Linked DNA regions of Schizosaccharomyces pombe. The gene in region 1 interacts genetically with each later gene. Each region holds a gene or a part of one and is shown on either strand. Other genes may lie near its edges. The genes, in order: mug14 and toe4.

Region 1 (3,945 bases):
GACCACCTTGTGAATGGCCCACTGATGGGGCAGTCTCTTTCAATCATTATAGTGCTAAATATCGTGAGGACTTATCCTTTGCTTTAAATAACATTAACATTGAAATTTCCCCACGGGAAAAGATCGGTATCGTCGGTCGCACCGGGGCAGGAAAATCAACTTTGGCGATGGCATTGTTTAGAATAATTGAACCAACTGAAGGAAAAATTGAAATAGATAACGAAGACATAACGAAATTTGGATTATACGACTTGCGCTCGCGATTATCTATCATTCCACAAGAAAGTCAAATATTTGAGGGCAACATTCGAGAAAATCTTGATCCGAATCATAGACTAACTGATAAAAAAATTTGGGAGGTATTAGAAATTGCTTCTCTAAAAAACTGCATTTCTCAGTTGGAAGATGGATTGTATTCTAGGGTTGCTGAAGGAGGTGCAAATTTTTCGTCTGGTCAACGCCAATTAATATGTTTAGCAAGAGTTTTACTTACTTCGACCCGTATATTATTGCTGGATGAGGCAACAGCATCAGTCCATGCTGAAACTGATGCTATTGTACAGCAGACCATTCGCAAACGCTTCAAAGATCGTACAATTTTAACAGTTGCACATAGAATTAATACGGTAATGGATTCAGATCGCATCTTAGTCTTAGATCATGGAAAAGTGGTTGAATTTGATGCAACTAAAAAATTGTTGGAAAACAAAGACTCGATGTTTTATTCGTTGGCTAAAGAAAGCGGTCTCATTTAATAATTTTTAATCGTTCTTTACCTGTATTACAATAAATCTAGATATCATATCATACTTGCAATTGAAGCTATTGGTTTTTTACACGTTCAGAAAAATATATATATACAAAATGAAGTTTTCTTTATGTTTACATGATAATTTTGTTCGTAAAAGCAGTATCACTGATATCTACGGTTTAATTCGCTAACTTTTTGGTTATCTACTCTTCTTTGTACGTTTAGCCTGATATTCTTGTGGTAATGAATGAATACTTAAATTTTTGGAAATGAATATGATTAGATTATATGGCGCAGTACAACAAATAGATTTAAAATAACTCATACAGTATATTAAAAAGAAAATCAAACGTAAAGGCTTCGGGATATAAAGTGATCAAATTTCTAAGAAAAAAAAGCGTTAGCATTCGAGGAGGGTAAGTATGATTAGATGTTTACTTGAAATTAGAGTGTTAAAAAATATGGCTTTATATCAAATAAAATATCGTTGCAAAACCGTGCAATGCTTCGTCAAATTGACATTCACCTAGACTTTACTAGTTTCATTCGCGTATTAGATTTCCTGTTAACTCAAATAGAACGATAATATTCTGGTACCGTAGCAATTCATAAAATTAAATTCGGCGGAATAACGAAAGTTGTAATTATTAAGTCCTAACGTCTCTATCAAAAGTTAGCACCAGCCTTAACATCATTGCGTACATTTTCTTTCTAAACTTTTAGGGTAACATTTTGGAATATACTAATGTTTACAAATTCAATACCAAGCTACATCGCTCCAGAACGATCTAGTGAACTTAAAGGCATTGCTTCCAAAAAAATAAAATATTTTTCCTTAAAATGCCTTTCAGAGCAGTCAATAAAAAAATAAAAAATCGAACAAAGGAACATGAAAAGAAGCACGAAAAAAACCTATATAATTTGCTTCATTTGAAGTGTAGAGAGTACTTTACTTTTAGTGAAGAATCGTTAACAATTCCTATTGTAAGTTTGTTAGCTTCTATTTATGATGTCACTGTAATTAAATTGATCTGTCCAATAATATTGATTGAATTAACCTTGATCATATAAAGTTGAAAATGCGGAGAAGATCGTGAAGAACCAGAGCTTTTGTGAGCTTGGTAAGGTTAACCGGGGAACCTTCGCAACATGAACGAACTTTAATAGCATTCTGCGATTTAAATCTTATTTGCTGTTTTTTAAAAAAGCAAATTATAACTTAAAATATTAAGACCCCCATGTGACAAAACAGTTCTGGCCTTTTAAAAAAGACGGTTTTTAGTATCTTAAGCAAGAAGAACTTGTTGAAATTTGCTTGAGAAAATGTGCGTTACAAGCATTTTTATTAACTGAAAATGTTCAGTTGTTCTTAATAAGCATTAAATCTAATTTGTGTTACTGTTTGTTTTATGAAAATGAATTCAATCATGTATTTACTTTAAAGTTTTTCACTACTCCACGAACAGGCCAGCCAACCCCTCATCGTTTCGAACCCCTCTATTTCGAAAGGGTAATTATCAACAAAGGAATCAAAATTTTATTTATATACATACTCTGTTCACGAATGAAATTGTCTTTATTTTCTGAAGCTATTAAAAGTGAATTACAATAATTCGCCTATATCTGCACTGTCGAAATACCAAAGAAATTAATATCATTTTGAATTATTTTTTTTTAATACAAAATGGCTAAAGTAACTGGATTGCCTGAATTTGAAGACTTACATACTAAAAGAAAATGGATGCTTAATCATATGGCTGCAGCTTTTCGCATGTTTGGTAGAAATGGATATAATGAAGGAACAGCAGGACATGTTACTGTAAGGGATCCAATTGATGAGAATACTTTTTGGATAAATCCTTTGGAAGTCCCCTTTTCCTTGATGAAGCCTAGCGATTTGGTTCATATCAACAGCGATGGCGAAATCATTGGTGGAAGCAAGATGAAGTATAATACTTCGGGATTTGCCATCCATTATGAAATGCACAAAGTGCGACCTGAGGTAATTTGTGTTTGTCACGTACACTCAATTTACGGTAAGGCATTTTCAGCTTTGGGAAAGCCATTGGATATGTTGAACACAGACTGTTGTGTGTTTTATAATAATCATGGAATTTATTTTGACATGGATGATGTGATATCGATGCCAGAAGAAGGAAGACGTACCGCTAAAGGATTAGCAGATTATAAAGCTGTTCTTGTTCAGAATCATGGCATTATGACAGTTGGTACTACTGTGGATGAGGCAGCATATCTTCTTTCATTGATGGAGCGATCATGCCAAATTCAGTTGTTAATTGATAGTGCAACCAAGGTGGGAGAAAGAAAGCACGTTCATCCCACTCGTGCCAAAGCTATTCGCGAAAATGCTGATAACCCAGTGGGTCTATACACTGCTCAACAACCCAACTTTTTGTATGAAGTTGCTTGTTCAAATGGGGAACTAGAAATAATTTGAGTAATGCATTTGTCTGATACGTTCTTACCTCAACTCTACTGTACGTTTTTACAGTATTTGTAGCAAAAATTTAAAATTCATTTATGTCCTTTTTTTGCTATTTAAAGCCTATGTAATGTCAATTAAATTTTTACAAACTCCCCTTTAGTTAAAACGCAAAATATAGCGTAGAATGTAACTTTTGAAAGGTACTTTAACGTAACAATGTTTACGAACCATTTCAAATATTACGATAATTCGTTAAATTATGGTTTCAGATGACTTTTAATATTCATTTGGGTTGTGCAGTTTCTTATGAGTGAATAGCGTTGAAAAGCAGTGCGTTGTTATATTGCAGCGTGTAGGCAACTGAATAATAGGAGATGAAAATAATTCTCATTGAAGTAATAGAATCTATCATTGAAGTTCAAGTCGTATTTGATGCACTGTAAATAAAATATTTTTTGGAGTCTAGCAAGTCTAAATAATTACCATCTTTTGTGTGGCAAATGCATCGCGGCGTAGCGAACGCTGCTAACATACCATTTTTTTCAAATTGATGCGCATTAATAAAATAGCCAGTGTTCAATAAGGACCGAGTTTGCTTTATTGTATATGATTACAGAGAAAATAAAATATTTTTGCTTTTTTTTTGTTATTTTCTATCATCGGCTTAATAATGATTTTATTTGGCTCATGAAAACTGATTATGAAGCTGAAGCACTCTCTTATATATATAAATGAATGAATGGCGCTA
Region 2 (6,992 bases), on another chromosome or scaffold:
AATTTTTGACAAACAAGCTTTGTGTGGCTATTTCGGCTTGGAGGAGTTGACATATAGATCTTTAGTCTTATTCAAAATATTTGGTATAAAATATTTACGAGCTGCTAATTTTGCTAAGACCAATTTGCTTTGAGAGTTTTCTGCTTGTAAGGACGACTCACATTCAGCATTTACAATGAGTGACATCGACAAAGAAAGCTTAAAACAAAATCAGAAGCAATGGGAAAATGAAGTTGAGTTGGGCGAAAGCAGAGAAGCTAATCAAGATGATGAGCTTCTGATGAGCCTTGGTTACAAACCAGAATTCACTAGAGAATTCTCTTACGTTAGCATTTTTGGTCAATCGTTTGGATCAATGGGTCTTTGTCCGGCTATGGCGGGTTCACTCATTTTCTCGATGAACTGTGGAGGAGGAGGCATGGTTTGGTCATGGATTATTGGATGTATATGTCTGATTCCAGTAAGTATATCATTGGGCGAACTGGCGTCTTCTATGCCTACTTCTGGAGGTCTTTATTTTTGGATTTTTACCCTAGCATCACCATCGTCAAGAGCATTTCTCTGCTGGGTTTGTGGTTACGTGTCAGTGCTTGGCTACGCTACGATTTATGCTTCAACAGTGTACTCTGCATCATCTATGGTACAGGCACTAGCTGTGATAGGTAGTCCTTCTTATTCACCTACAAAATATGAACAGTACGGAATTTACGCAGCGTTGCTTTTCGTGATTTCTGCCATGACTGCAATTCCCTCTCGTGTTATCGCGAAGGTGAACATCATTAATATTACCTTCCAATTCCTTGTATCCATTATTCTTATTATTGCCCTTGCCGCAGGATCTGACTCTACTACTAGAAATTCTGGAAGTTTTATATTCGGTGATTTTACAAATTATTCTGGATGGTCAAACATGGGATGGGCATTTATACTTTCATTCACTACTCCTGTGTGGGTTGTAAGCGGATTCGAATCTAGCGCCGCTGTTGCTGAAGAATCAACGAATGCTGCCAAAGCAGCTCCCTTTGCTATGATTTCCAGTCTTGGTGTGGCTACCATTCTTGGATGGTGCATCGTTATCACCGTTGTAGCTACTATGGGTCACGATTTTAATGCCATTCTAGGTTCCTCTTTAGGCCAGCCTGTAGCTCAAGTACTGGTTAACAATGTTGGAAATAAGGGAGCTTTAGGAATTTTCTCTTTGCTGGTCATTGCCCTTTGTTTGAACTGCATTTCGTTACTGATTGCTGCATCTAGAGAAGTATTTGCTTTCTGCAGAGACGGCGGGATTCCAGGAAGTAGATACTTACGTCTTTTGACTAAACAGAAAGTTCCCTTAAATGCAATTCTTTTAGTGCTACTCTATAGCCTTTTAGTCGGTCTACTAATTTTGGTTAATGTCACTGCCATTTCTTCTGTGTTTAATTTAGCAATTATTGCTCTTTATATCGCTTATTCCGGCCCTCTTATGTGTCGATTTGTGTACAATAAATTTCAACCTGGTGTTTTCTACGTTGGAAAATGGAGCAAACCAGCAGCCTTATGGTCATTAGTTTGGATGTGGTTTATGATTCTTATGCTTTTGTTTCCTCAATATCAAAAGCCCAACCAAGATGAGATGAATTGGGCTATAGTGGTCCTTGGATTTGTAATGGTCTTTTGCGTGGTGTATTATTATTTGCCAAAGATTGGTGGTAAAACTTTTTTTACAGGTCCAATACCTACTGTTCAACAGGAGAACGAGTACATATCTGGTGTTCCACTAAATGAACTATCTTTAAGCAGTTTACCTTTGCCAAAAGATTTTGACCAGAAGCAAATCACAGAGTAATTTAACCTGAGTGTTATACTTTTCTTAACTCTTCTTTTTGGCAACAGCTACGCTGTTTCATTGTATTTTTACTGTGCTTTTATAATTGTATGTTTATTAACAGTTCTTTTTTATTCTTTTGTTCCTAGTCTTAGTTAAATAGCTTAATATTGTTTTAATGTCTTTTAATGAATTAGTGGCTCTGTTATCATTATCAGTAATATAAGATTATATAAAATTTTTTTTATCTTTCGAGTACGTATACTTATCGTCTTGTCCAGATTTTCTTATCATCACTTCCCTTATAACCTATACTTAAGCACGACTTGAGTAGTGCTAAAATAAATCTGCAGATGTATATGCTTTTTAACAGTAAACTGCACCAAAGGCGGTAATGCTTGCTTACAATTGATACGCATTCAGCTAGAATTTAAGATAGTTGTTTAATTACTCTTTTCTTAACATAAGATGTCTCAAAATAAAGCATGTGATCTTTGCAGGTTGAAGAAGATTAAATGTAGTCGAGGGCAACCAAGATGTCAGACTTGTACTCTTTTTCAAGCGGACTGTCATTATTCTAATCGTGCTCGCCGTAAGAGACTTGTTCAAAGAAGCAAGGAGACGTTTGGGGGAATTACGTTACCCGTGTTTGATTATGCCGCTGGTATTAACGGCAATGAGCCAGAACCGAGTGATCACTCAATTCCAAATCAAGAAAATTTTGCATTAACTACTAATGGAACTATTAGTAAAAACATTGAAAAACCCGAGGATGGTGAAGAATCCGTTCAGAGACGCCTTAAATTGCTTGAAGAAAAAATCGATTTGTTGTTAGATATAGCTACTGAAACTTCAGAATTTAAACGTGAAAATAAGGCTATTGAATTACCTTCCTTGGTTACACAAATTAAAGATGCAGAATCGATTGTTATTAAACACAGACAAGGTAGCCCTGTCGACAATACACCTACTCGGATACTGAATGTGGAAAGCTTGTTCCCTCCACAGTTGCCGGACTGGGAGAAGGCATTCCATGACATTCCCAAGAAGGAAGTAGCCCATGAGTTAGTCACGTCTTACTTTCAGCATGTAAATTGGTGGTGGCCTACCTTCGTATATAATGATTTTATGTATGAGTTCGAACGTCTTTATGCGTTCGGGTTCCATAGCAATAATGCTTGGCTAATTTCTTTTTATTCTATTTTAGCATTAAGCAGCATTAGGAAAAGACTTGGTAACTCAAAGACGCTTGCAGAGTCTTTGTTTTCAACAGCTTGGGTTTTTGTTCAAAAGTCCGACTTTTTTCTTACTCCGAGCATTGACAAAGTTCAGGCTTTAATTGTCATGACACAGTACGCAGCTTACCTGTCTAGCTCTTCTTTATGTCGGACTTTGTGCGGCCAAGCCTGCCTCATGGCCCAACAATTAAACTTACATAGAAAGCAATCCACTGATGTGGAGCCTGAAAAGGCTGAATCGTGGAAAAGGATATTTTGGATGTGTTATATTCTCGATAAAAATATTTCTTTGATTTTTGGAACCCCTTCCGTTTTTAACGACAAGGATATTGATTGTAATTTGCCTGATAGCAAATATGAGCTTTTGTTTGGTGTACAATCTGGTGGTGATTTGATATTTGTTCCTACCGTATCGTTGACAATAATTCAGAGTGAAATACGAAATCGACTATACAGCGTGAAGTCACCTACGCAAATGGCAGCGAGAGAAAAAATCATCATACCAATACATCAAAAATTGAAAGCGTGGGAAGAAAACCTTCCTTCTGAAATAAAAATGTATCATGAAATGTTGCTAAACAACACTTTTTCTCCCACTATATCGCTTAGCGATCGGTTCGAATTTTTAACTTTCGCAGGTATGGAAGTTTACTTTTCTTACTTAAACACTTTAATTATATTACACAGACCTAGCTCGTCGACAGAGAATCGAAGGATTTGTATTAATGCAGCCCGTGAAGCAGTTCAATTGTTAAAAAATAGACTCAACATTGATCTCAGGGTCAATGTTAAAGCAGATCCGCTATGGATATTCCTATACTGTCCTTTTACACCTTTTTTAATAATATTTAATAACCTTGTTCACGAAACTGATACGGAAACGGACTCAGAAACATTACTTAACGATTTGGATCTTTTACATGTAATTTACGATTTTTTTATGGAAATGGAGCCAGTTAGTGACGTGGCTTTGGAACTTGTCAAAATTGCAGACAAACTTTTGCGGGTTGCTAAAGAAGTTTGCAGTGCCAAAAATAATGATGTTACGGATTCTACTTTTAAAGATATCGTTGAAGGTTTTGAACTTAACGACTTAAACAGTTGGGATTTTGACAGAGTAACCAATGTTATGAGGAATCTTTAAAAAAATATGAAAGTAACGTTGTTTTATTAATAATTTATTTGCTTTAATGTACATGGTGAACATCATTACCGGTTAACAATGAAGCTATTATCAAACTATTTTGCTTGATCAACTACATGCATCGACCCAAATGTCTAATTGAGTAGTGCAGTCAATTCAGAGGAGTCACCAAATCTTGAGATTGCCTTTCTTGATTGGGAAATCCAGTCAGTTGCCATTACAATTTTCAGTTCTAAAATTCCGACTATGGATAACGCTATTACCTGTCCAATCCAAAGACCGACAAGACCTTTGCCATGGAAGGCTAAATAAATTCCTAGAGGCAGAGCAAACAAATAGTAGGCAGTAATGTTAACTATAGCGCCAACCTTCTGTCTTCCCGTGCCTCTTAAAGCTCCTCCCATTGTACCATTCAAGGAATCTGATATTTGGAAAGCAGCTACTAAGGGCATTACAAGAGCAACCAGCTGAATGACATCTGGATCATTTGTGAAAATCCGTCCATAGATATTGCGTACGGCAATCATGGTAATCATGATAACGCTTCCTACTGCAACACCTACAATTGCTGCGACCTTAGCAGTTAGAGAAGCATTGTCAGGTAACCCAGCTCCGAGATAGTAGGCAACTCGATTAGAAGTAATTATTCCGAGACCGAAAGGAATTGTGTTAAGTAATTGATCTGTGGTCATAATTACTGATTGAGCGGCAAGTGGTACAGCACCAAGTTTACCAGCAACTAGTGCTACTATTTCAAAAGCCCACCATTCTGTTCCCACCATAACGATACCCAATAGTGATAACTTTACAAAAGGTCCAAAGTTCTCTAAGCATCGTTTATTCCAACCATTCCACGCCTCTGCCCCTTTTACGTATTTCGCATATTGAGTTAATAAAATGAATGAAAGCCAGTACGATAATCCAGTTGCCAATGGAGCGCCTTTTAAACCTAATCCATAATAATGGACAAGTAGAAAATTTAAGGCGACATTAAGAGGAGAGGTAACTAGAAGAATATAAGAACCAGCCCTAGTGATTTCTTGTGTTTGCAAAAACTTTTTTAGCAATTCAAAACATACATAACCTAGTCCGCCTGGGATAAGGTATCGTAAAAACTTTTGTGAAGCTTCAGCTAATTCAGGTGTTTGATGCAAGAAAATTAGGATGGGTTTAGAATACCACCAAACTAAACATATTGGCAGATATAGAATACTGAGCACGATGAAACCCGTTTGCAATAGAATTCCCAATTCTTGTTTTTTTCCGGCTCCCCAAAGGTTGGAGCCAAGTGTGTCAAAAGCAGTAGTTCCACCTAGAGCAATCAGCCAGCCTGTGCTCATCGCAAACATGTACGCAAAAGCAGCTACGGAAAGCTCGCTTGGTCCAAGGCGCCCGGTTACAATAACTGAACTAGTTTGCAAAGAGTTTTGCAAGGCATATCCAAGGATTACCGGAGCTGAATTTATCAAAAGGTATTTCACCTCTGTAAGTGGTCTACCCATAATAGTGCTTTCTCAGAGAAAATTTGGATATACGGTGTATTTTTTAATATAAATAAAGAGTACTTCTTAATGTCTGTTCACCGAAGGTTCAAATTTTCCTTTAATAAAAGTTTACTAAGCTTTTATCATATTGATTGAACGGATGGAACCATAAATTTATATCAGAGAACGCTTAGAAGCCGCACATTTAGGGCATAAAACTTCAGATGTCATGGCTAAACATTAGTATATCCGTGGAGATACGGAAATTTAGAAATACCCACGCAAAATATTTTTCGCTTAGCCAACAGACATTGGGAATTCTCGCCGAGTTTTTGCTAACTTAAATGATAGCAGTTAGCATATTTTGCCGGTGAAAATATTATTACCGTCTCACTCCGCTGGTTAAAAATAGTAGGTAACAAATCGGTTGCAGACTAAGAAGCTATTGACTCGCACGTTATTCTTAATTTGTTGAAATTAGTACAAAAATTTGAGCATGAAAGCGAATAAAGAGTACAAAAAATATTTTGTAATTTTACCTTGCATACTCATTGACTGTTAATAATTATAACACTTACCGATGGTGGTAAAATATATAGCAGAAAATAGCTTGGTGAATTTATTAGTCAATAATGATTTGAACAAACATTACAGAAAAAACGATTTGTAATTTCCCAAATAACTGTGTATAAGTATGAATCCAGTTGTTTGGCGTACGCATATATCATTCTCGGTTAATTTTGCTTTTCAAAAGTTTATATTTAGATTGCTGTGACTTTTAGAATGCAACACGAAATAACTTTAAATCTTTACGTTTTTATTAAAACTTTCTAAATTAGTTTATAAACATCCATTCGTTCTTTAAATAGAATAAGCACCAAAATTCATCTTTGCTTGCAATCACTCTCTTACTATATAGATATATGCATGATATGACAATTATAATCAACATTAAATAAACACAACAACAACAAATAATCACACTTGTTCTTACAATTTGTAAGCGTTTTTGCTCCACGCACGAATGCTCTTGCCAAAACGATAAAATATAAAAGGAATGGGAACCATCGCTACAGAAATAAAACCAAGCACACTAGTAGCCCAGTGATCTCCTAAATTAAGGTACATAGGCCTGGCCACCATACTTATGCCTCCACTGGCAGAATAGCGAACTAGAGTAGCTGCAGCTAAAGCGCTCGGTGCCATATGTTGATACGAATCAATAATGTAATTGTATGAAACGAAAAAAACTATTAATAAGGAAAACCCAAAGAAAGCGCTTGCTATTATTGGTACAATCCAGTGAATGTGATGTGGAT

What was found.
Region 2: mutations in mug14 (region 1) and toe4 together harm fitness less than expected from each alone (positive genetic interaction), as found in Schizosaccharomyces pombe (one large-scale study listed by BioGRID).

What each region holds. Positions count from the first base shown.
Region 1 is NC_003423.3:126,390-130,334, forward strand, and holds mug14 (adducin, involved in actin cytoskeleton organization), read left to right. Parts: upstream 1-2,220; 5' UTR 2,221-2,435; coding exon 2,436-3,209; 3' UTR 3,210-3,353; downstream 3,354-3,945. Other genes in the region: multi drug resistance-associated protein abc3, read left to right, coding at 1-755. UniProt on the Schizosaccharomyces pombe protein: Has a role in meiosis.
Region 2 is NC_003424.3:115,392-122,383, reverse strand, and holds toe4 (transcription factor), read left to right. Parts: upstream 1-2,150; 5' UTR 2,151-2,275; coding exon 2,276-4,189; 3' UTR 4,190-4,323; coding exon of another isoform or gene 4,324-5,691; 3' UTR 5,692-6,330; downstream 6,331-6,992. Other genes in the region: SPOM_SPAC11D3.08C (amino-acid permease), read left to right, coding at 176-1,828; SPOM_SPAC11D3.06 (MatE family transporter), read right to left, coding at 4,324-5,691; mfs2 (MFS family membrane transporter), read right to left, coding at 6,664-6,992.